Ovis aries: one gene and its partners. The main gene of each other region encodes a partner of the protein of the gene in region 4 in a complex. Links are inferred from orthologs where the notes say so. Each region holds a gene or a part of one and is shown on either strand. Other genes may lie near its edges.

What was found.
Region 1: TAF3 (region 4) and TAF5 share a complex: the UniProt entries of both Homo sapiens proteins name them as parts of the TFIID basal transcription factor complex. The link is inferred for Ovis aries from reciprocal best matches to the Homo sapiens genes TAF3 and TAF5.
Region 2: TAF3 (region 4) and TAF13 share a complex: the UniProt entries of both Homo sapiens proteins name them as parts of the TFIID basal transcription factor complex. The link is inferred for Ovis aries from reciprocal best matches to the Homo sapiens genes TAF3 and TAF13.
Region 3: TAF3 (region 4) and TBP share a complex: the UniProt entries of both Homo sapiens proteins name them as parts of the TFIID basal transcription factor complex. The link is inferred for Ovis aries from reciprocal best matches to the Homo sapiens genes TAF3 and TBP.
Region 5: TAF3 (region 4) and transcription initiation factor TFIID subunit 9-like share a complex: the UniProt entries of both Homo sapiens proteins name them as parts of the TFIID basal transcription factor complex. The link is inferred for Ovis aries from reciprocal best matches to the Homo sapiens genes TAF3 and TAF9.

What each region holds. Positions count from the first base shown.
Region 1 is NC_056075.1:23,656,809-23,661,443, forward strand, and holds the start of TAF5 (transcription initiation factor TFIID subunit 5), read left to right. Parts: upstream 1-1,721; 5' UTR 1,722-1,758; coding exon 1,759-2,317; intron 2,318-4,595; coding exon 4,596-4,635. UniProt on the Homo sapiens protein: The TFIID basal transcription factor complex plays a major role in the initiation of RNA polymerase II (Pol II)-dependent transcription.
Region 2 is NC_056054.1:86,377,400-86,381,948, reverse strand, and holds the start of TAF13 (transcription initiation factor TFIID subunit 13), read left to right. Parts: upstream 1-1,314; 5' UTR 1,315-1,358; coding exon 1,359-1,385; intron 1,386-2,180; coding exon 2,181-2,259; intron 2,260-4,549. UniProt on the Homo sapiens protein: The TFIID basal transcription factor complex plays a major role in the initiation of RNA polymerase II (Pol II)-dependent transcription.
Region 3 is NC_056061.1:91,733,112-91,738,003, forward strand, and holds the start of TBP (TATA-box-binding protein), read left to right. Parts: upstream 1-1,715; 5' UTR 1,716-1,964; intron 1,965-4,892. Other genes in the region: PSMB1 (proteasome subunit beta type-1), read right to left, coding at 1,461-1,573. UniProt on the Homo sapiens protein: The TFIID basal transcription factor complex plays a major role in the initiation of RNA polymerase II (Pol II)-dependent transcription.
Region 4 is NC_056066.1:12,225,516-12,230,200, reverse strand, and holds the start of TAF3 (transcription initiation factor TFIID subunit 3), read right to left. Parts: upstream 3,067-4,685; 5' UTR 2,860-3,066; coding exon 2,694-2,859; intron 1-2,693. UniProt on the Homo sapiens protein: The TFIID basal transcription factor complex plays a major role in the initiation of RNA polymerase II (Pol II)-dependent transcription.
Region 5 is NC_056065.1:58,198,568-58,202,197, reverse strand, and holds transcription initiation factor TFIID subunit 9-like, read right to left. Parts: upstream 2,061-3,630; 5' UTR 1,923-2,060; coding exon 1,137-1,922; 3' UTR 1,006-1,136; downstream 1-1,005. UniProt on the Homo sapiens protein: The TFIID basal transcription factor complex plays a major role in the initiation of RNA polymerase II (Pol II)-dependent transcription.

The DNA of each region.
Region 1 (4,635 bases), on a different chromosome or scaffold from region 4:
TTAATATTTAACTCATATAAAAATACTTTTCAACATGTTACCAATAAAAATATTATTGAGCCATTTTATTCTTTTTGTCTTTAAAATCCAGCACATATCTCACACTTAGAGAACACCTTAGCTCAGACTAGGTACATTCAGTGGCAGTAGTCAATAACCACACTATTAAGTTGCTCCTGGAGTAGTGCAGGTCAGTTTTGCAATTACCTACCTTAGGAGGCAAACTCTAAATTCACTCTTAGCTTTGTGAATTTAAACTTAGGAACTGAACAAGATTGTAAACTCACACCAGTGGCTACCTCTCCCATCACACTCAACCCTAGAGATGGCACTGAAATTGATAGATCAGTAAAAACTGTGAAACCTCTGAGGATATGTGTGTGTGCATGTGTGCATGTATGTTGATAAACAGGGAGTGATGGGGCCAACACATCACAGGTTTTCCTGTTTTGGGTGCATCCTTCACCTTTTACCAATGCTAGGCTTTAGCCTCTCCTTCTGGGTAGACAAGGTAGCTGATACCTTCCGGGAAATACAAATTCATAGAGAAAAGTAATGAGATGCAGAGGAAGGTGCAACTGCTAGTAAAGCAAGAAACTGAACAACTTAAATGCTCATCTCCTCCCCCCTCTCTGCCCTTGCCCCTACCCATGTTTCATAATCTTACATTATGTCAAATTCCACTAGTTTTATATTTCAGTCTTGAGATCACCATGTATGTCATGATTAGACTTTCTTAGGAAACATTTGCAGAACACCGCTTAAGGTTCAGTAAAAATAACCAATAGTTATTTATTATGTGTTTAGTTCAGTTCAGTTGCCCAGTGGTGTCCGACTCTTTGCGACCACACGGACTCTATCTTATTTAATCCTCACATAACTCGATCTTCCCCATGTCCCAAGTTCACTTTTCTTGTCTGCACCTATCTCATACCGTTGTGAGAGTCAAAGGAGACCAAATATGCAGCGCAGATTCTTTACCGTCTGAGCCACAACGTAAGTCCTCAAACATGCAGCAGTGCTTTTAAACCTATGAAGCATGTTGCAAAATGGCACATACTGTTTTAAAATATACAACTAAAATGCGGCCTGCTTGTAATAATGGTTAACATAGCACGAATACAGCATATACACATTTCACAATCACAAAATTCAGGTTCTTAAAAACTTTTTATTGAAATATAACATATATGCGTAAAGTTCACAAAACGTGAGCTTGCAGCCCAATTAATTTTTATAAGGCATAAATGGGAAAAAGAAAAGTAACCGCCATCCAGAAAAAAATATAAACATTACCAGTAACTCAGAAGCCTCCTTCTGGTAAATGATATATGCTTTTAAGATAAAGACCTGGTTTTGAATCTTGACGCTTTCCTCCTGTGTGACTTTGGCATTTAAAAAATGTCTTTAGGTCTTGATTCAGTCATCTGTATCGTGAGAATAATGGTACTTTATATGACTGCTGAATAAAAGGTCACATAATGTAAAACGTCCATCGCAGTGCCTGAAAAATAGCTGGTCTGTAATAAATGTAACTATTATCCGGCAAATGCAAGAGGCTGCCCCGACGTCCCACTTCCTGCCTTTTTGCCACTCACTTTTGAAAGTTGCTCTTGCTGCGATTCCTTTTTCTCCTTCTTTATCGCCCCTCCTACTGCCGTAAATTGCCCTCCAGAGATGTCGTAAAACGCTCCTCCCCGCCCTCCATATGGCGAAAACGCAATCACGCTTGACGGCGCGAGGTGGCTCAGCCGCAAGATGGCGGCGCTGGCAGAGGAGCAGACGGAGGTGGCGGTGAAGTTAGAGCCTGAGGGACCGCCGACGCTGCTACCTCCGCAGGCGGGGGACGGCGCTGGCGAAGGTGGCGGCGGCACAACCAACAGCGGCCCCAACGGCGGCGGCGGGAACGTTGCGGCGGCGTCGTCGGCCGGCGGGGATGGTGGGACCCCCAAACCCTCGGTGGCTGTCTCCGCCGTTGCACCGGCGGGGGCGGCCCCGGTGCCCGCCGCTGCTCCGGAGGCCAGCGCTCCCCACGACCGACAGACTCTGCTCGCCGTGCTGCAGTTTCTACGGCAGAGCAACCTCCGCGAGGCCGAAGAAGCGCTGCGCCGTGAGGCCCGGCTGCTGGAGGAGGCAGTGGCGGGCTCCGGAGCCCCGGGAGAGGCAGACAGCGCCGGCGCTGAGACAGCCAGCGCGCTTCTTAGCCGGGTCACCGCCTCGGCGCCCGGCCCTTCGGCCCCGGATCCTCCAGTCAGCGGCGCTTCGGGGTCCGCCGCCGTCTCGGGCTTAGCGACAGGTTCTGTGGCTCCGGGTAAAGGTGAGCCGCTGGGTCCGGGGTAGGCAGGACCGGCACGGCGGGGAGTGAGCCGGGAAGGCAGAGGCTGGCAGGCCTGCACCTCTGCGGGCTTGTTTTGAATTTCCTGGGCCCGCCTCTAGGGCCACATGCCCGCCCCTTTCCCTAGTGCGCCGGCTGCGCAGTCAAACCCTCTTCCGAGCTGTCAGTTCCAGCGAGAGGCTGTGGAGAGCTATTGAGCCGAAGGATGTATGGGGACGGTGGGCGCGGAGAGGCGGGAACTTCCAGGCTTTTGGTTCTTATTTGGGCTCTTGAGCTTTGGGCAGGGATGCAGCAACATTATTTGTACTAGCGTACTTTTACTATAAATATTTTGTGTTGTTTATCTTAATTTTCACAGTTCCACTGTGAGGTAGACAGTACTTCTATTTTAGAGATGAGAAACCAGACCGAGAAAGGCCAAGGTATTTGCTTTGGACCGCACAGCCAGAGAGTGGTGGTACATAGTGAAGCCAGTCTTTCTCAAAATATAGGCTAAATACCATTGGTATCAAATCTTTTAGAGAAATGCAGATTCCTGGGCATCACTTCAGACGTAGTGAATCAGATCCTGTGAAGGTGGAGTTTGGGAATCTGCATTTTCAAATAAATGCTTCAGGGACTTCCCTGGTGGTCCAGTGGTTAGGGAACGCATGTAAGAATTAAAGATTTTAAAATTTAAAAAATAAAAACTAAAAAAAAAAAAGAATCTGCCTTCCAACGTAGGGCATGTGGGAACGTGGTAGGGAACTAAGATCTCTCAAGCGTGGGGCAACTAGGCCCGCGCTCTGCAACTACTGAGCCCGCATGCGGCAAGGAAAAATCCTCGGAGCCGCTAGTAAGATCCAACGCAGCCAAAAATAAATAAATATTCTAAGGATTAAAAAAAAAAAATGCTTCCAAGAGATGTTGATCTATGGCAAGGTTTGAGACCCATTCATTTAGGAACAGGTATTGGACTTCAGTTTCTGTCTCTGTTGCTTTTACTTGTGTGATGCTGATTGTTACTCTTCCTAAGCTTGAGAGTTTTTTTCCTTCTATTAAACGGGTTATTGTGAGATTCATATATATGTAAAATGTCTGGCACTGACAAGTTTATGCCAAGTACCTATCCCTGACACCTGAGGCTCCCGCTCCCCTTTTCCTTCAGCAACTGTTGTCAAAAAGTCCATGCAGTAAAAGTCATATACAACATAAAGTTTCAAAGGTGATCCTGAGCCAGTAAAAAATGTTTATTGAATTAAATTACCCATTGTAGAGCCTCTTGCCAAATTAACCTGTGTTTATGAGACCTAATCTTGGCAGCATTTCCAGGAGTGAGGTATGAATAAGCGCTGTAACCCATAAGTAGAACTGTGTGCAAATGTGATTGAGAGGAATCTTTTTTGAATCTGAATTTGGGAATGAACTATAAGATGGATGAATTATGTGGTTGATTATTTTGCTATAATCTCTCATCTCTTTAGAAACTTGACCTTCAGATTGTAACTGAGAAACCAATAGAAAGGAAAAGAGGCCATCATAGTAACCAAAAAAACTGAAAATTTGTGCAGTAAAGAGCATAACAGTACTGTAATCACAACTTAAAAAAAATTTCCCACAAACCCTCATTTGATTGACAGATGTATCGTTGTTTGGTATTGAAATATTACAAATAAATACTCATGCTTTTTGCCTTGAAATGGTGGTTATGGAAATTGTTTTAAGCATATAAAATAGATTTATCTTTTGGAAATATAAAAGGCAAGTTCTTCCCACCATTAACATGGTTGTATTTTATAGGGAGTGATAGATGGACATACGTGAAGGTAACACAGGATAAGATATGTTGCTGAAAAGTTATAAAATACTCAGGTAGCTCAGAGGGCTGGGAATGTTACTCCAGGGCATGGCTTTGTGGTGGTGAGTGCCATTTGCACTGAGCCTTGAGAGAAGAGTAATACCGTTGTTTGATTTGCACATACCATGTTTTATAAAATTTGTTTTTAAAATAGTGAAGCTCTAGGAAAAATGCTGAATCTTTTTGCTGTTGATCTGAAAATTTTTATTTTAAGATGTGGACAAACCAAGGAAGTGTTGGATGGGTAACTGAAACAAACTGAATCCCATTAAAAGATTTTGTGATTGTGTCGGGGAAGAGTGTTTGAGAGGAGAGGGACAAACATCTGTGAAACAGTTCTCCTCTGGACCTTAACAAAACAGCCTTAGTCTTTTGGTGCTTGTCAGGTCATTTTCTTGAAGTTATTTTTCATTTTTTAAACAGTTGGAAGTGTAGCTGTGGAAGACCAGCCAGATGTCAGTGC
Region 2 (4,549 bases), on a different chromosome or scaffold from region 4:
GCTGGAAGAAGCACAAGCTGGAATCAAGATTGCTAGGAGAAAATCACTAACCTCAGATATGCAGATGACACCACCCTTATGGCAGAAAGTGAAGAACTAAAGAGCCTCTTGATAAAAGTGAAAGAGGAGAGTGAAAAAGTTGGCTTAAAGCTCAACATTCAGAAAACTAAGATCATGGCATCCGGTCCCATCACTTCATGGCAAATAGATGTGGAAACAGTGGCTGACTTTGTTTTTGGGGGCCCCAAAATCACTGCAGATGGTGATTGCAGCCATGAAATTAAAAGACGCTTACTCCTTGGAAGGAAAGTTATGACCAACCTAGACAGCATATTAAAAAGCAGAGCCATAACTTTGTGAACAAAGGTTCGTCTAGTCAAAGCTATGGTTTTTCCAGTAGTCGTGTATGGATGTGAGAGTTGGACTATAAAGAAAGCTGAGCGCCAAAGAATTGATAATTTTGAACTGTGGTGTTGGAGAAGACTCTTGAGAGTCCCGTGGACTGTAAGGAGATCCAATCAGTCCATCCTTAGGGAGATCTGGCTGTTCATTGGAAGGACTGATGTTGAAGCTGAAACTCCAATACTTTGGCCCCCTGATGTGAAGGGCTGACTCATTTGGAAAGACCCTGATGCTGCGAAAGATTGAGGGCAGGAGAAGAGTACGACAGAGGATGAGATGGCTGGATGGCATCACCGACTCAGTGGACATGAGTTTGGGTAAACTCCGGGAGTTAGTGATGGACAGGGAGGCCTGGCGTGCTCTGGCTCATGGGGTCGCAAAGAGTCGGACACGACTGAGCGACTGAACTGAACTGGACTGCAGCCCGCCAGGCTCCTTTGTCCTTGGGATTTCCCAGGCAGGAATACTGTAGTGGTTTGCCATTTCCTTCTCCAAGGGATCTTCCCTACACAGAGATCGGACCCAGGTCTTCCACTGAAAGCAGATTCTTTACCATCTGAGTCACCAGGGAAGCCCTGGCAATAAATCATAGTGGAACTCTAAGTTGTTCAAATTGTTTAAATTCACCCCTGTCTAGCCCCTCAATGATCCAAAGCTTCACAGGACCGAATCAGGAAGCGGAGATCTGATACGCAGAAGAAAGCTCAAGGTGACAACGAGATACACGCCATCTAGCTCATCCCTTTTCTATGCTAATGTTTAATTCCTACTTTCCAAGACTTTATCCTTCGCTGTTCAGGTTTCACCGCTGGGCGGGAGGTGCTTGTTCCTCTTCCACAGGGGAGGTTCCGCTAGGCCCCGCCCCGGCCCCTCTCGTCACCGGAAATGAGGCAGCGGAAGTAGTAAAAAGCTCTCCGAGGAAGGCGGGCGCGCAGTGGAGGCGGCTGGCTGGTGGGATGGCAGATGAAGAAGAGGATCCCACCGTGAGTGACCGCCTCTGTTCCAACCTACTTTTTAATTTACTACCTCGAGCACAGTAGCGGAAGCATAGTGGAGAATTGGGTTTCTTTACCTCAGTGATTCTGCCGAGAGAATCGGGGACTTCTCCCCGGGCTAGCCTTTTTCTTCTGATTCATCCTTTTAGTAAGCGGGGCTGGAGGAGTAGGTGGCTCCCCGCCCTTTACCTTTGGTTCATATTTGCCAGATACCCTTTGAATCACCTAGAGAATCATCAGGGGGCAAAGCTAGTGTTTGTTAGGGCTCATTATGCAACAACAATTCAAGTGCTAAGAAAACTGTACACTTTACTGTAAAGTAGTGGAAAAATAATGGACTCAAGTCACTGAGCAAGTAATTGAGCCTCAGTTTTCATGTCATAAAATAGGCTTAAGGTTTACTTGAGGAAAGTTCTTAGCACTGTGTAGGAAATGCTTAACAAATACTAGTTTTGCTTGCTTTCATTCAATATCAACTCTTTTAATAGTAAAACTATCTAGAAATAGGCCAACTTAGTTTAAAAAAAGAATGTATGGTCGTTGGAACTCCCCCAGGAGAAGCAGTACGATGCCTAACGGGGCATTGTAGAAGCCACTCCTGCGTGAGTCTGAAGTTGGGCGAGATAGTTTTAATGCCCCCAAAATGCTAAAGTTTCATTGTTTTTTGCTGCTTGCTTTAGGCTTTCTGGCATGATACTGGTGTTGAAGATGTAAAAAAAAAAAAAGCTAATTATTAAAATGTCAGAAGCAGTGTTTGACATATCTATACGTTTTAACTTTCAGTTTGAGGAAGAAAATGAAGAAATTGGAGGAGGTGCAGAAGGTGGACAGGGTAAAAGAAAGAGACTTTTTTCTAAAGAATGTAAGTAGTACTTGAGAATGATTTTTTAATAGTTTCCTTGTAGGGACACTATTCTCAGACTTCCGTATAAATTCTGTTTAACCTGTGATTCATAGATAGTAATGATCCTAACCCCAATTTATATATTTAACCCCAATTTATATATTTATATATATGTGTGTATATATGGGCTCACACAGACATACGTTTTTAAATTTTTTAAGTAAATACATGTGATCAGTGTTTCAATTCAGGTCCCAAGTAAGAACGTACCTCCGTTACTTTACCTGTTCCTTACCTTTCATCAGTTGGAGCAGGGACTCCTTTGAATGTAAGCCGAAGGTTCTGTTGGACCCTGAACAGGTCTGAGGGTAGGAATTAAGTTGGGACTTTGAACTAAGGCAATGGACAAGGCAGGAAGATGGTGAACAATGTGAGGCAGTCCAGTGACATGGAGATCATAAAGTTTTGGGTCTATTCTCCTCCTTCAGTAGACGGGTTTGACCTTTTATGGCAGTGGCAAGAGGAGCTGATTCTATTACTGATGATTCAGGCCAGCCCCTGAAAGGCACCATGAGAACATGCTCTCCATCTTCCAGTCCTGGTCCTTTATACATAGTTATGGCTGAGTGTAGATCAGGCAACACATGGAACACTTGGTTTACTTATGCCAGTTCCGACATAAGCAGTTCCTAAATGCTCTTGAAACTACAGAGTCAAGTAGTTTGGTTTTTTAAGCCATTCAAATCCTTTCCTATATCTCAATTTCTCACCTAAAGTTGACTGCTCATTATTCCATTTCTGATGTTATTTACTCCATTCGTATATGGTTTTACGTCTTATGGAGACTTCCCTGTAGCTCAAACAGTGAAGAATCTGCCTGCGAGGCAAGAGACCAGGGTTCGATCCCTTGGTTGGGAAGTTCCTCTTGAGGAGGGAATGGCACTCCACTCCAGTATTCTTCCCTGGAGAATTCCATGGACAGAGAAGCCTGGCGGGCTACAGTCCTTGAGGTCGCAAAGAGTCGACACGACTGAGTGACTAACACAGTTACTTCTTAGGTAGGCATAAGAGGATTACTGCACCAGAGCATCGCATAGTGATGCTAGCATACTTCTTACCAGAGCCTTTGTTCCACTTGGATTTCTTTATTTTTATGATGACAAGAATTCGGAATCTTCACAGCTGTTTCTTTGTCTTACCTGAATTTTCATGTATCTTGACCAAGATCTGTTCTTCTAGACATTCTTTGTTTTAAAAATATTTTTTGCTAATATAACACAAGATTTCAAAGCATTCACTTCTCTATTTGTTTGTCTTTACAGACTCTTTAACCAAATACGGTTTACATACTTCCTATCTAATAAGTTTTTCCTTTTCCAGTGAAGTATGTTTCCCTACTGATGAATTCTCCCCATCACAATGTTAATGACAGTATTTTCCTCAAAATATTTAAGAGAAAATATTAAATTTATAGTGGAGAATCCAGTCCTGGCAGACATTACTTTAGTCAGGTGATCAAAGTTAGTATCACCAGTAATATATGTTGACATTAGGTACTCCTAATATGGTGCATTAAGGGGTCCATCATCACTCTGATTCCCTTCTAGTAATGCATAAGCACAACCTAATCATGAGGACACATCAGATAAACCGAAGCTGAAGGACACGCTACAAGATAACTGACCAGTATTCTTCAGAAGTGTCAAGGTTGTAAAAGACAAGGAAAGTTTGAGGAACTGTTACAGAACAGAGGAAACTAAGGAGACACGACAACTAGTGTGGGATCCTGGAACAGAAAAAGTACAGTAGTGGGAAAACTGGTGCAATCTGAGAAGTGCTGTACTTGTACCAGTGTTAGTTTCTTAGTTTTGATAAATGTCTTTGGTTGTGTAAGATGTTAACATAAGGGGAAACTGGATATAGGGATTCTGGAACTCCATGCTATTTTTGCAGCCCTTTAAATCTGAAATGACCTTAAAAAGATTTTTTTTCCAGAGTCCCAAAAAAAAGAGAAGGGAGAAAATATTGCCTCTTGTGTTTGTTTTCTCCCTCCTGTATCTGAACCTAAAGATTCTTGCCAGGATAAACCCTCCAGGGCACTTCTCTATCCCAGACTGGCTTCTGGGTCATCCCTTTCTTTTCTCCTTTTTTTTCTTCCATGGGCCTGGTCTGCTTTCTTAGTTCTGCCTGCTTTTGCTTCTCCTAAGTAGGAATTACTCTTTTTTTTTTTTTTTTTTTTTAGGAATTATTCTTAATGTACTCCTTCCTACTTTTAGAAGTGTTCTAGGAGTCTCTTCCTTTTTTTTTT
Region 3 (4,892 bases), on a different chromosome or scaffold from region 4:
TGAATACCTTATAGTCTCAAGCAGAATCTGCAACTGTCTCATGAAATGGGTCTAATAACTCATTTTGTGATCCCACCACTTCATTAGTTGTCACAGGAAATATTTAAAAGTGCGATGATAAAAGCATTCATCAACTTCATAGCAACACAGGTATGGATTCAAGTCCTGGGGTTCAACTTCACACCAGCGCTATGACTAACAAAATTAAACTTCTAAGAGCCCAGGTTCATTTGTAAAATTGAGGTATATATCATCTAACAGTCAGTCATCATGAGGATTAAAAAGATACCTGCTTTCAATCTACAAAGTGCTTCTCTTTTGATTCTTCTCTCAAACTATGAGTAGCTAAGGAAGATAAGGAAATCTGGGTTCAAGGAGCTGAGAGGTAGGTACCAAACACTACACTGCTCTTTAGTGTCAGAGACAAGGCTAAAATCACACTTCCACCTTCTTTGCAAATACCCCAAAAATCTACATTAAAATTTCAAACCCATAAGACCTGAGTAATTAATCTGGTCTTTGGATGGTCCTTAAAGATTACCAGATTAATTTGGTGTGTACGTTTCAAAGTACAAAATTTGGCTGGCAAACTATAAACGATGCTTAAATACACAGCTCTTCGCAGTGAAGAGTCCTAAAGAGAGTGCCTTTCCACAACCCTAGTTCTTTCAGTGCACTGTCAAGGAAAAGTATTAAGATAAAGCGGGTAAGTTAAAAAGAAAGAAAAGCTCACATACAACATGCAAGAATACACACATTCAAAGGTCCGCCTTCTGAGTATTTTTCCCCTGAACTTACGCTAGCCCTTAAAACTAAACACTGATCAATGAAACTAAGTCTGTGCAAGTAATCCTACCTGCTATTTAAAACAACTCAAAATGGTGATTTGATTAGACCTATTAGCTAGACAGGGCTTCCCTGATGGCTCAGAGGTTAAAGCGTCTGCCTGCAATCGGGAGACCTGGGTTCGATCCCTGGGTCAGAAAGATTCCCCTGGAGAAGGAAATGGAAACCCACTCCAGTATTCTTGCCTGGAGAATCCCATGGACGGAGGAACCTAGTGGGCTACAGCCCATGGGGTCGCAGAGTCGGACACGACTGAGCGACTTCACTTTCGCTAGACAGCTATATTTAATCACATGGCCAATCAACCCTAACTTTTAATCTCAGATGTTCAACCTGCCCCGTGCCTGCTGGCTAGAGAAGCACATTCAGACAGGTCCATTTTTAAAGCTCTTCAGAGCGGAGGTCAGGTGTCAATTTCTATCTGCTGTCTACGTAAAGCTGGCCATCCACATCAAGATCCAGTGACCCGCCTATAAGGTGAAGCCCTGAAGAACAAGAGCTAGCCGAGCAACCTCGGAGAGGGAGGCCTGAGACTGGAAGGGCAGCGCCGGGCAGACAGACTTAAGCAGGGATATGGAGGAAGAAAGAGAAAGCGGCGGCTCTGCGGGTTTTACCCTCCGTTGAAAGCGTAGGGCGAAAAGCGCAGCTGCAAAGGGCCCACGGAGCTGTGCGGTTCCATGGCCAGGTCTCGGCCCGCGCCCGAGTACGAGGCAACGGAGGACAACATTCCGCGGCTGCTCTCCTGCTGTCTCACGGCAAGATGGCTGCCTCGACCGGAAATTGTGCCGTTTCCGGTTTCCGCGGCGCTGCCTCCGGCCGCTCTATCTCGCGCCAGTCGTTGCTCCTGGAGGCCAGAGCCCTCCCTTTCCAGTCGGTAGCTATTGCCTGCTCTACGAAGAGACCTGGCAGTGAGGTACAGGCTTTCTTTTCCAGGCAAATATTCGAAATCACTCGTGATGGATAGAAATTTTAAAGTCTGAGCTTACAAAGACATTGGAAAAACTATGGAGCAACGGAAACTCGAAGAGTCTATTGAAGTGTAAATTCGGAAAGGGACTGGCATTACTTGACATAGTTGAAAATACACACACATCATGACCCAGCAGTTTCACGCCGAGGTATGTACCCTGGCCAGAAGACGTGAAAGAATGTTCATAAAGATGTTCTTAATGGCCCCAAACTGGAAATGAGCTAAATATCCATAAACTGCAGAATGGATAAAGCAACTGAGGGATGTGGATGTGCAAAAGCAAGCAAATTAACTGACTTTGGCTAGAGGGAAAGGTCCTCCTTGGCTAGGGATGGGTTGGAGGTTGTAGTGCTAGCAATACTGGGTTTCTTTACTTGATTTAATGTTTGCCTGCTCAGTAGATCAGGCGTGTCCGACTCTGCGACCACACGGACTATGCCCATCAGGCTCCTCTGTCCATGGGGTATTTACAGGCAAGACTACTGGAGCAGGTTGACATTTCCTCCAAGGGATCTTCCTCCCCCAGGGATCGAACGCCCATCTCCCGTGTCTCTTGTACTGGCAGGCAGGTTCTTGGCCAACGAGCCACCAGAGGAGCCCTTGGTTGCTGTTGCTCAGTCGCTAAGTCGTGTCTAACTCTTTGCAACCCCATAAACTGCAGCCCGATAGGTTTCCCTGTCCTTCACTATCTCCCAGAATTTGCTCAAACCCATGTCCATTGTGTTGATCACATCCAACCATCCCATCTTCTGTTGCCCCCCGCCCCCCTCCTCCAGGCTTCCTTCTCCTGCCCTCATTCTTTTCTAGCGTCAGGGTCTTTTCTAATGAATCAGCTCTTTGCATCAAGTGGCCAAAGTATTGGAGCTTCAGCTTCAGTCTTTCCAATTAATGTTTAGGGTTGATTTCCTTTAAGATTGACTGGTTTGATCTCCTTGCTGTCCAAGGGACTCTCAAGAGTCCCTCCAACACCACAGTTCAATTCTTTGGCACTCAGCCTTCTTTATGGTCCAACTCTCACATCTGTACATAACTCTGGAAAAATCACAGCTTTGCCTATACAGACATTACCAGCAAAGTGATGTCTCTGATTTTTAATACACTGTCTCGGTTGGTCATAGCTTTCCTTCCAAGGAGCAAGCGTCTTTGAATTTCATGGCTGCAGTCGCTGCAGTGATTTAGGAGCCCAAGATCAAATCTGTCACTGTCTCCACTGTTTCCCCGTCTATTTGCCATGAAGTGATGGGACCGGATGCCATGATCTTCATTTTCTGAATGTTGAATTTTAAGCCAGCTGTTTCACTCTCCTCTTTCATCCTCATCAAGAGGCTCTTTAGTTCCTTTTCGCTTTCTGCCATTAGAGTGGTATCATCTGCATATATGAGGTTGTTGATATTTCTCCAGGAAATCTTGATTCCAGCTTGAGGTTCATCCAGCCACACATTTTGCATGATGTACTCTTCATATAAGTTAAATAAGCAGGATGACAGTGTACGGCCTTGATGTCCTCCTTTCCCAGTTTTGAACCCGTCCATTGTTCCATGTCTGGTTCTGTTGCTTCTTGACCTGCATACAAGTTTCTCAGGTGATAGATAAACTGGTCTGGTATTCCCATCTCTTTAAGAATTTTCCATTGTTTGTTGTGATCCACACAGTCAAAGGCTTTAGTGAAGTCAATGAAGCAGAAGTAGATGTTTTCCTGGAATTCCCTTGCTTTCTCTATGATCCAATGGATGTTGGCAATTTGATTTCTGGTACCTCTGCCTTTTCTAAATCCAGCTTGTACATCCGGAAGTTCTTGGTTTATGTACTGCCCTTACTTGATTTAATACCATCTATTAATCTGTATACATGTTTACATACTTCTTTATATGAATATCATATTTTACAATTTAAAAATGTTAATTAAAAAAAGCAAGCAAGCCTTTGACTAATATAGAATGGACTGCCTGATATATACATGCAATTCTGGAAGCAGAAAAAGATTTTTGAAAAGTACTTTTTTTAATTAAAACTTTTCCTATACTTTACTGTAAACAAAGCATAAAAGAAAGGGTTTTCTTTGATGGTTATGGACAGAGAAGTATTGTATTTATTCAGGTACTGTCTTGGATACAAAAATTCTGTAAAATCTTTCCTATCCTTAAGGAGCACACAACCTCATTGATTATGTGAAGCACAAAGGAAGCAAGCTAACAAGCATTACAACCTGCAATTATGCCTAAATGAACCATAGGATATTAGAGATACCAAAGGAACATTTCATGCAAAGATGGGCATAATAAAGGACAGAAGTGCTATGGACCTAACAGAAGCAGAAGATATTAAGAAAAGATGGCAAGAATACACATAAGAACTATACAAAAAAGCTCTTTATGACCCAGATAACCACAATGGTGTGATCACTCACCTAGAGCCAGGCATCCTGGAATGTGAAGTCAACTGGGTTTTAGGAAGCGTCACTACGGACAAAGCTAGTGGAGGTGATGGAATTCCAGTTGAGCTATTTCAAGTCCTAAAATATGCTGCTGTGAAAGTGCTGCACTCAACATGCCAGCAAATTTGGAAAACTCAGCAGTGGCCACAGGACTGGAAAAGGTCAGTTTTCATTCCAATCGCAAAGAAAGGCAATGCCAAAGAGTGTCCAAACTACTGCACAATTGCACTCATCTCACATGCTAGCAAAGTAATGCTCAAAATTCTCCAAGCCAGGCTTCAACAGTACTTGAACTGAGAACTTCCAGATGTTCAAGCTGGATTTAGAAAAGGCAAAGGAACCAGAGATCAAATTCCCAACATCCACTGGATCATTGAAAAAGCAAGAAAGTTCCAGAAAAACATCTATTTCTACTTTATTGACTATGCCAAAGCCTTTGACTGTGTGGATCACAACAAACTGTGGAAAATTCTGAAAGAGATAAGAATAGCAGACCATCTTACCTGCCTCCTGAGAAATCTGTATGCAGGCCAAGAAGCAACAGTTAGAACCGGACATGGAACAACAAACTGGTTCCAAATAGAGAAAGGAGTATGTCAGGACTGTATGTTGTCACCCTGCTTATTTAATTTATGTGCAGAG
Region 4 (4,685 bases):
TAAATCGTTACCTTTGGGAAACTTTTAAATGTAATATTTGTTGAATTAATAGTAACTTCTGATACCTGCTTTACTGAAAAAGCATCTTTTTAAAAAGGAACAAATGCCATCATTCTGTTTTTACTGACATTTCAACACCCTTGTACACACCTTATGGGCAGGGATTTTGCCTAAGTAATCCTACGTCTCCATCAGGTAGCAAATATATAAGTGGTGCTCAAAACACGTTGTGTTAGAAAGACAAAAGAAATGAAGAAACAGAAGACAAGATTGCATAGTGGGGATTTAATTCCAGTCTGAAATAAGAATAGTGGAGAAAAAAGAACCTTAAAAAGTCTGTAACCGGTTAAGTATACCAGGAAGTAGCATTTTTGAAAAGTCACCAGATCACAATGAGGAGTAATGAACCGGATCATCCTATTCTCAACTAAAAGTAAGATAATCATTACAGAGACTGGGCAATTATCCACGAGGTTCACATGCAGGCAAAACAAGGGTCACCCCATGACTCTAGAATACCTGGCTGCTTGCAGTGCCAGCACCCATCTGGTTCTGTGAGTCAGGAAAGGTAACTATGTATTCTGCAGATATTTTGACCTAAAGGTACAGAACAGCCATCGTCATTCAGGGAATTTGGGAGCAAAAAATATAACCAGGCCCATGCATACCGTAACAGTAAACTCACACAAGGGCCAGGAAGGGAGGAGGGAGGAAAATGAAGCAAAAGCAAAGAGCAGTGTGCTGGTGGTACGCGAGCAAGACAACAGTCAGTGAGAGCCACTCGGCAGCTTCAAGTTCAGATTTGACACAGCTGTGAAATCAAGGGGTCCAAAACTACACATTTTTAAAACTCAAAAAGTCAAAGGACTAAATAATTATTATGGTAGTGGCTTATCAGTTCAGTTATTCAACAAGTATCTCCTGGCTGCCTATTCTATTATGGCACTGTACTAGGCTACTGAACACCAATATAATAAATTTGTCTCCTGGGGAGGGAAGAGGAGAGGGTGAGAGATATACACAGATGATTACAAAATAAGGTATTCAGGGACTTCCCTGGTGGTTCAGTGACTAAGACTCCGAGCTCCTAATGCAGGGGGCCCAGGTTCCATCCTTGATTAGGGAACTAGGTCCCAAAAGCCTCAATGAAGACCCAAGATCCCGCGTGCCGCCACCAAGACTCAGCACAGCCAAATAAATACATTTAAAAAACAAACAAGATGTTCAGTTAACATGGCAGAAATATGCACAGAATTATGAGAAGAGATATGATGAGTTTCCTAAAGCAAAATGATAAGTGAATCTCAAAACAGAAGTCATGCTATCCGTGGATGATAGGCCAGCAGAAAGTAAGAAAATGTGAGCTCACAAAGGCAAGCGCGTGCTGCTAGAGAGCTCGGATTCCCAGCCTGTAACTAACTGGAATATTTTTAAGAATGACACAGTCAGGTTTGTGTTATGGCGTGACTGACAGGTTATTCTGATAGGACGATGGAAGTTGGTATGGAAATTGGGACCTAAGAAGTAAAGTGTATCTAAGGGTGTCAATTTTTCAGTGGAGTAACCACCTTAACAAAACAAAATGTTGCATGAAACACTTCACCCGGTTCTCCAGCTTACCACCTCAAAAATAATGCCCTGAAACTTCAGTGAGGGTCAGTCAGTTCCCTCTCCACACACAAACTTCTTATCAATGAGATGATGTGTTGCACCTATTAAAGATTCCAATTTTGTAAATGCCACCAGCTATAGATACTCCTGGGGCTTCCCTGGTGGTCCCGTGGTAAAGAATCCACCAGCTAAGGCAGGAGACTGCCAGTTTGGTCACTGGGCTGGGGAAGACCCCCTGGAGGAGGAAAAGGCAATCCACTTCAGTCTTCTTGCCTGGGAAACCGCATGGACACGGGAGTTTGGTGGGATCCAGCCCAGGGAGTCACTAAAGAGTCAGACATGACTTAGCCACTAAAGAACAGGTACTACCAGATATTCACTTAAAAACCATCTGCTGTAGCCCAGACTACCTGGGGAAGCTTGTAAACTGCCTATGATCTCTCTACCACACTCTGATAACCACTGACATAAAAATACAGACGAGGAGGAAATCAATTGAGACGTAAATGAAAGTGAACATAAGTGAAACTGACCAAGTTGGTAGAGATGCTGCCCGTGAAACGAACAGAAACAGAAAGAAGAGGCAGTGTCCCTAACGGAGCAGAGCTGTCAACGAGTCTGTGTTGTCAGGAGCTGAAGAACGGCCAGGCTTGTAAGAAACGGCCGGTAGACGGAGCGCCTGTGACAACTAGTTGTAGTAGTTTGCGGGCAAGGGGAGGGAAAGGACCAAACTAACAGAGGCTGTAAGGCGTTCTGGAGGGGGTTCTGCACGCTGCCAAAGGAGACGATGATTAAGGCCGATGTCCAGATCAGAGAGGAGGGCAGAGGGTGTGGAGCTGGGAGCGGGGACCCGGCTCCTGCTGCACGCGGGATAAGTTAGCGGCTGGCGAAGAGGCAGCAGAGGGATGACTCGAGTTTCCACGGGCAGTGGGAGCGGAGGAGCGTCAGGGGGCGAGAAGACACCCGATCGCGGGGTGAGGGCGAAGGACCAACACCTCCCGGACGCCGGGAGAGCACAGGGGAGCGCGGAGGTGTCACTCGTGACCGGCCAGGCAGCCTCCCGTCCCCAGCCCCGTACTCACACAGCTCCGAGTACCGGTGGCAGCCCCGTCCCAGCTGCTGCAGGTAGCGTTGCAGCACGTCCGTGAGAAGGTGGCAGGCGCTCAGTTGCACCGAGTCCCAGCCCAGCGCCTGGCAGATCTGCGCCACCGAGACCCTCAACAACGACCTGGAGTAACTCTCGCACATCCCGCTCCGTGGACTCCACCGCAGTCCGTGCCGCCACTTCTCTCCACCTCCGCCGCCTAGCCTTAGCAGGGCCCCCGATTCATTCTCCAAGGCCTCCGCGGCGGGGAAATCGTCCCCCTCCGACCCCCGGCGACCACCTCAAAGCCTCAGCAGCACGGAGCGCGCCAGCCTGAGAGCCGCCATTTTGGACTTGCTCCGCCTCCCGCTGGATGGTCGCCGGGGCGAGGCAGCACTAGCCGAGTGAGGAGCGGGCCGATGCGGAAGCTCCGCCCCGTTGTAGCAGAGCGATGGTCCCGGTTTGACTCTCGGGCCTGGAAGGATGCAGGAAACGGCGGCGCGGGGCGCAGGTGAGGGATGCGCCAGAGGAGGCAGGTTCCTGGGGCCTCCTGGGGTACTCTCTCGGAGGGGACTGGGGAGGGCACCGTCAATGGTTCAGGGCCCGAAGAAGGAGCCAGGATGTGGGTGTTAGAGAGAAGTGAGAACCCGAGAGGCTGTAAATGTAAGAGTGGGATTTAGGGGCGTGGAAACGTACAGTCGCGAATCTAATCACGCCTCTGCTAAAAAAAAAAAAAAAAAAAGATCTGTTTACCATTGTATAGATTAAATCAGGTCCAAGCGGTTAATCATGTCATTCGAAACCCTTCACAGTAGGGCAGGGTGTAAGATGTGGCCTGTTTGGCGCTGACCACCACAATTTAAGGGGACAGCAGAAAACAATGAAAATTACTAGTATTTTAACACAATTATTTAAAAATCCGAGCTACTACCCTGCCCCTTTCCTGTCTCGGGGCACCTCTTTCAAATCGCAGCCCTGGTTCCGATAAAATTTTATTTACCGAAACGGGTGGCATGCTGGTGGGCAAGAGTTTGCCAGTGTTCCCTTCACCAGCGTCTGCTGCTGCTGCTGCTGCTGCTGCTGCTGCTAAGTCGCTTCAGTCGTGTCCGATTCTATGCGACCTCATAGACGGCAGCCCACCAGGCTCCCCCATCCCTGGGATTCTCCAGGCAAGAACACTGGAGTGGGTTGCCATTTCCTTCTCCAATGCATGAAAGTGAAAAGTGAAGGGAAGTCGCTCAGTCGTGTCCGACTCCTCGCGACCCCGTGGACTGCAGCCCACCAGGCTCCTCCGTCCATGGGATTTTCCAGGCAAGAGTATTGAAGTGGGGTTCCTTTGCCTTCTCACCAGCGTCTAGGATCTGGCAAAGGAAGAGAGGACTCAGTTGCCTACGGAGGTCAAAGTCCTTAAATCCAGCTGGGTGTATGAAGATCTGTTGCCTGCTCTAGATTCCCCACTCCAGGTAAGGGCTACCAGATCTTAGGGAGCTGCAGGAAATCGGGGTTTTGTGATCAGTAGCTCGATCAATATTTTTAACTATTGAGATACATTAAAAAAATTTTTATTCTATTTATTTGGCTGAGCTGGGTCTTGATTGTGGTGTGTGGGCTTCTCGTTGAGGCGGCTCCTCTTGGTGCAGAGCACAGGCTCTAGGCTTCAGTAGTTGTGACTCTCGGACTCCAGAGAGTGGGCTCAGTAGTTGTGCTCATGGGCTCAGTTGCTTTTTGGCACCTGGAATCTTCCTGAACCAGGGATCAAACCCCTGTCCCCTGCATTGGCAGGCAAATTCTTATTCACTGTACATGCCACCAGGGAAGTCCTGGGAATATATTTGCAAGCCAAACTAATCCCACATTTAAGCTAGATTCAGCCTATAGGAAGCCAGGCTGTATTGACTCACCTACTCAGTCTTTACCCGTTTTTGCTTTTTTCTTCTAAAAGCTTCTGGAGTGTTCCTTCCTCCCCTCCTCTATTCTGTGTTCCTATTCT
Region 5 (3,630 bases), on a different chromosome or scaffold from region 4:
AAGTGTTGTTTTTATTACCATTATTCAGAAATTACAATAATGTTGGCATATTGATTTGAGAAAGCTGTTAACATATTTCTCAGTGGTCAAATTGTTTTTTGCATTTAGTGGGACCATTTATTCTTTTATAAGCATTATTTTGAAACTGATTTATGTTTAGAATGACTACCCAGACTGAAAAGAAAAAAAAGTTATAATTTTGTTTGCTGCTCTAGAAGTCAGCTACCTAGTAATCCTATCTCTTAAGCACTGTAGCTGGAAACCAGGAAATAAGAAAAATAGCCCCTGAACAGTTAATCTAAATATCACAAAATGCAGGTGCTAAACTTCTTAAAGTATAATTTTGGTATAAGTAAAACTATATATAATGCCTATAAAAGTTATGAAGCATCATCTTGTAATCATCAACTATGAATCTACCACCTGTCATAAGAGCTAAAGTAATATTAGTAAATGTCACTCAGTCGTGTCCAACTCTTTGCAACCCTGTAGACTGTAGCCTACCAGGTTCCTCCATCCATGGGATTTTCCAGGCAAGAATACTGGAGTTGGTTGCCATTTCCTTCTCCAGGATGTCTTCCCAACCCAGGGATTGAACCCAGGTCTCCCACTTTGTAGGCAGACGCTTTACTCTCTGAGCCGCCGGGAAAGTCATAAGAGCTAGACCATTGCTAATACTTTCAAAGCTATCACCCATCTGTAGGTCTGCTAATCTCCTGGAGATAATTACTCTCTTAATTTTTAACCATATAATACACCCATTCTTGGAAAATTTTTTCTTGCATATATATTCCTAAATAACATAATCTTGAGCATTGTTTGATTTTTAGTTTTAGTAAAATAAGGTAGCATTCTGTATGCAGTCTTCTATATGCAGTCTTCTGGATTTGCTTTTTTTTTTTTTAAATGCACGAATTGCAACTTTATTTTTTACACTTAAAGGGTGACGAGAAACCATTACTAATCCTATCAAAGAAAATCTAACACAACAGCTCAATCAAAAAGTATGGTAAGCATATTTACTCATTAAATACTATTCTTTCTAGAACACAACATGGAAATATCCAGCATGCATGTTTAATCTCAGTACAACAGATTCAAAACCAAGTATACAAGTTACATGCGTCAAGGCTAGATTACAAGTTATCATAGTCATCGTCGTCGTCATCATCGTCATCATGTTTCCTTTTCAATGTGTTTGATGTTTCATTGGCAGTATTTTGTGATGAGACCATGTTAGTGGTAATAAGAATATTTTTGGACCCAATTAATGACGGATTAATTAGAACATTCTGAACAGCTGATGTTGCAGGAATTGATGCTTTTACAGCTGGGGACTGTGAAGTGGGCATCTGTACTGTGAACCTTTGCCCTGTGAGGGACACTGGAGTCCCTACTTTAGTTGAAACAGACATGGCTTGTGGGGTTGGTGTGCCAAGCGTGGGAGTACTTGGTCTGCTAGTAACTGAACCAACGCTTAACCGTGGAACCGTTATTCTTCCTGCAGAAGTAGATGCCTTTTTTTGTAAAGACTTCAGTCTATAATTTGGAGCAGTCAAGCAATACCTATCAGGTGGCAATCTAGGACCTGAGTATGGCTTGATCAATGGCAAAGGGGTTTGATTTCTTTGCCTTGCAATATCTAATAAAAAATCTCTTGGTGGAGGAGAGGTGAAAGACTGGTCAGCACGACACTGGATTGCCAACCGCACATCATCTGCGTCAACAGTAGCTTTCTTAGCATGACTTGAATAAATTTTGGCATCATCTAGAATTGTGGTTACATATCGGAAGGCAAACTCCAACATCTGATTTATAACTCTTGGTTCATATTCTGTAATCCCCATATCCTTCAGGATTTGTGCCATCATCTGTGCATCTTTCGGCATGCTCTTGGGAGAAGCCATCTTGCCAGACTCCATGATATCCGGTGATCAAACTTCTCGAGCTAAATCACCCACATTAACGTATTTCAGTCCTGATCTTGATGCAAGTTCTTTGCCTAATGTAGTTTTTTCAACCCCTGGTGTACCGGTGAGCAGGATGTTCGGAAGCAACATCGCTTTTTTTTTTTTAAATTAGGTTTTTATACACATTCTCTATACCCAGTGGAGGTAATAATGGAGCTAATAATAATTCATTATGCAAAATGGAGGTAATAATACTTCAATATTTCACTGTATTTTTATATATCAGTTAAACATGTTAATATAGGAAATAACTTAGGAAACAGTTCCTAGCATATCGATCATGCTTTTTATCTTTGATAAAGAAAATATTCTTGTATTCATCCGTTTTTACTGCAATATCAGCTCAGTTCAGTCATTCAGTCGTGTCTGACTTTTTGCGACCCCATGGACTTCAGTATGCCAGGATTCCCTGTCCATCACCAACTCCAGGAGCCTACTCAAACTCATGTCCATTGTGTCAGTGATGCCATCCAGCCATCTCATCCTCTGTCATCCTCTTCTCCTCCCACCTTCAATCTTTCTCAGCATCAGGATCTTTTCCAATGAGTCGGCTCTTTGCATCAGGTGGCCAAAGCATTGGAGTTTCAGCATCAGCATCAGTCTATCCAGTGAATATTCCTTTAGGATTGACAGGTGAGATATCCTTGCAGTCCAAGGAACTGCAATATACTGCAATATATATCATATTTTATATACAGTTGTTTCCTCTTATCCACAGTTTTTATTTCCAGAGTTTCACTTACCTGTGGTCAACCACAGTCTGAAAATATCAAACGAGAATTCCAGAAACAAACAATTCACATTTAAATTCTTTGCCATTCCAAGGAATGTGATGAAATCTTTTGCTGTCCTGCTTCATCCCTCTGAGGATCCTTAGTGATTGACATTGTCTGCTCTAGATATCCAGCCATCCACATCATCATGTCTCAGTGATCTGGGATCACATAAAGTGGATATGCCTCCTTTTGAGGTGTCATCAGAAGGTCAATAGTAACCAAATACTACATTGTTGTTATTGTTATTCAGTCGCTAAGTCATGTCTGACTCTTTGCAACCACGTAGACTGCAGGACAACAGGGTTCCCTGTACTTCACTATCTCCCAGAGCTTGTTCAACTCATCTCCATTGAGTAAGTGATGCTATCCAACCATTTCATCCTCTGTCACCTTTTTCTCCTCCGGCCTTCAATCTTTCTCAGCATTAGAGTCTTCTCCAAAGAGTTGGCTCTTCACATCAGGTAGGCAGATTATTGAAGCTTCAGCATCAGTTCAGCTCAGTTCATTCAGTCGCTAAGTCATGTCCAACCCTTTGAGACCCCAAGAATCGCAGCATGCCAGGCCTCCCTGTCCATCACCAAATTCCGGAGTTCACTCAGACTCATGTCCATCGAGTCAGTGATGCCATCCAGCCATCTCATCCTCTGTCGTCCCCTTCTCCTCCTGCCCCCAATCCCTCCCAGAATCAAAGTCTTTTCCAATGAATCAGCTCTTCGCATCAGCTGGCCAAAGGACTGGAGTTTAAGCTTTAGCATCATTCCTTCCAAAGAAATCCCAGGGCTGATCTCCTTCAGAATGGACTGGTTGGATCTCCTTGCAGTCCAAGGGACTCTCAAGAGTCTTCTCCAAAACCACAGTTCAAATGCAACAATTCTTCAGCGCTC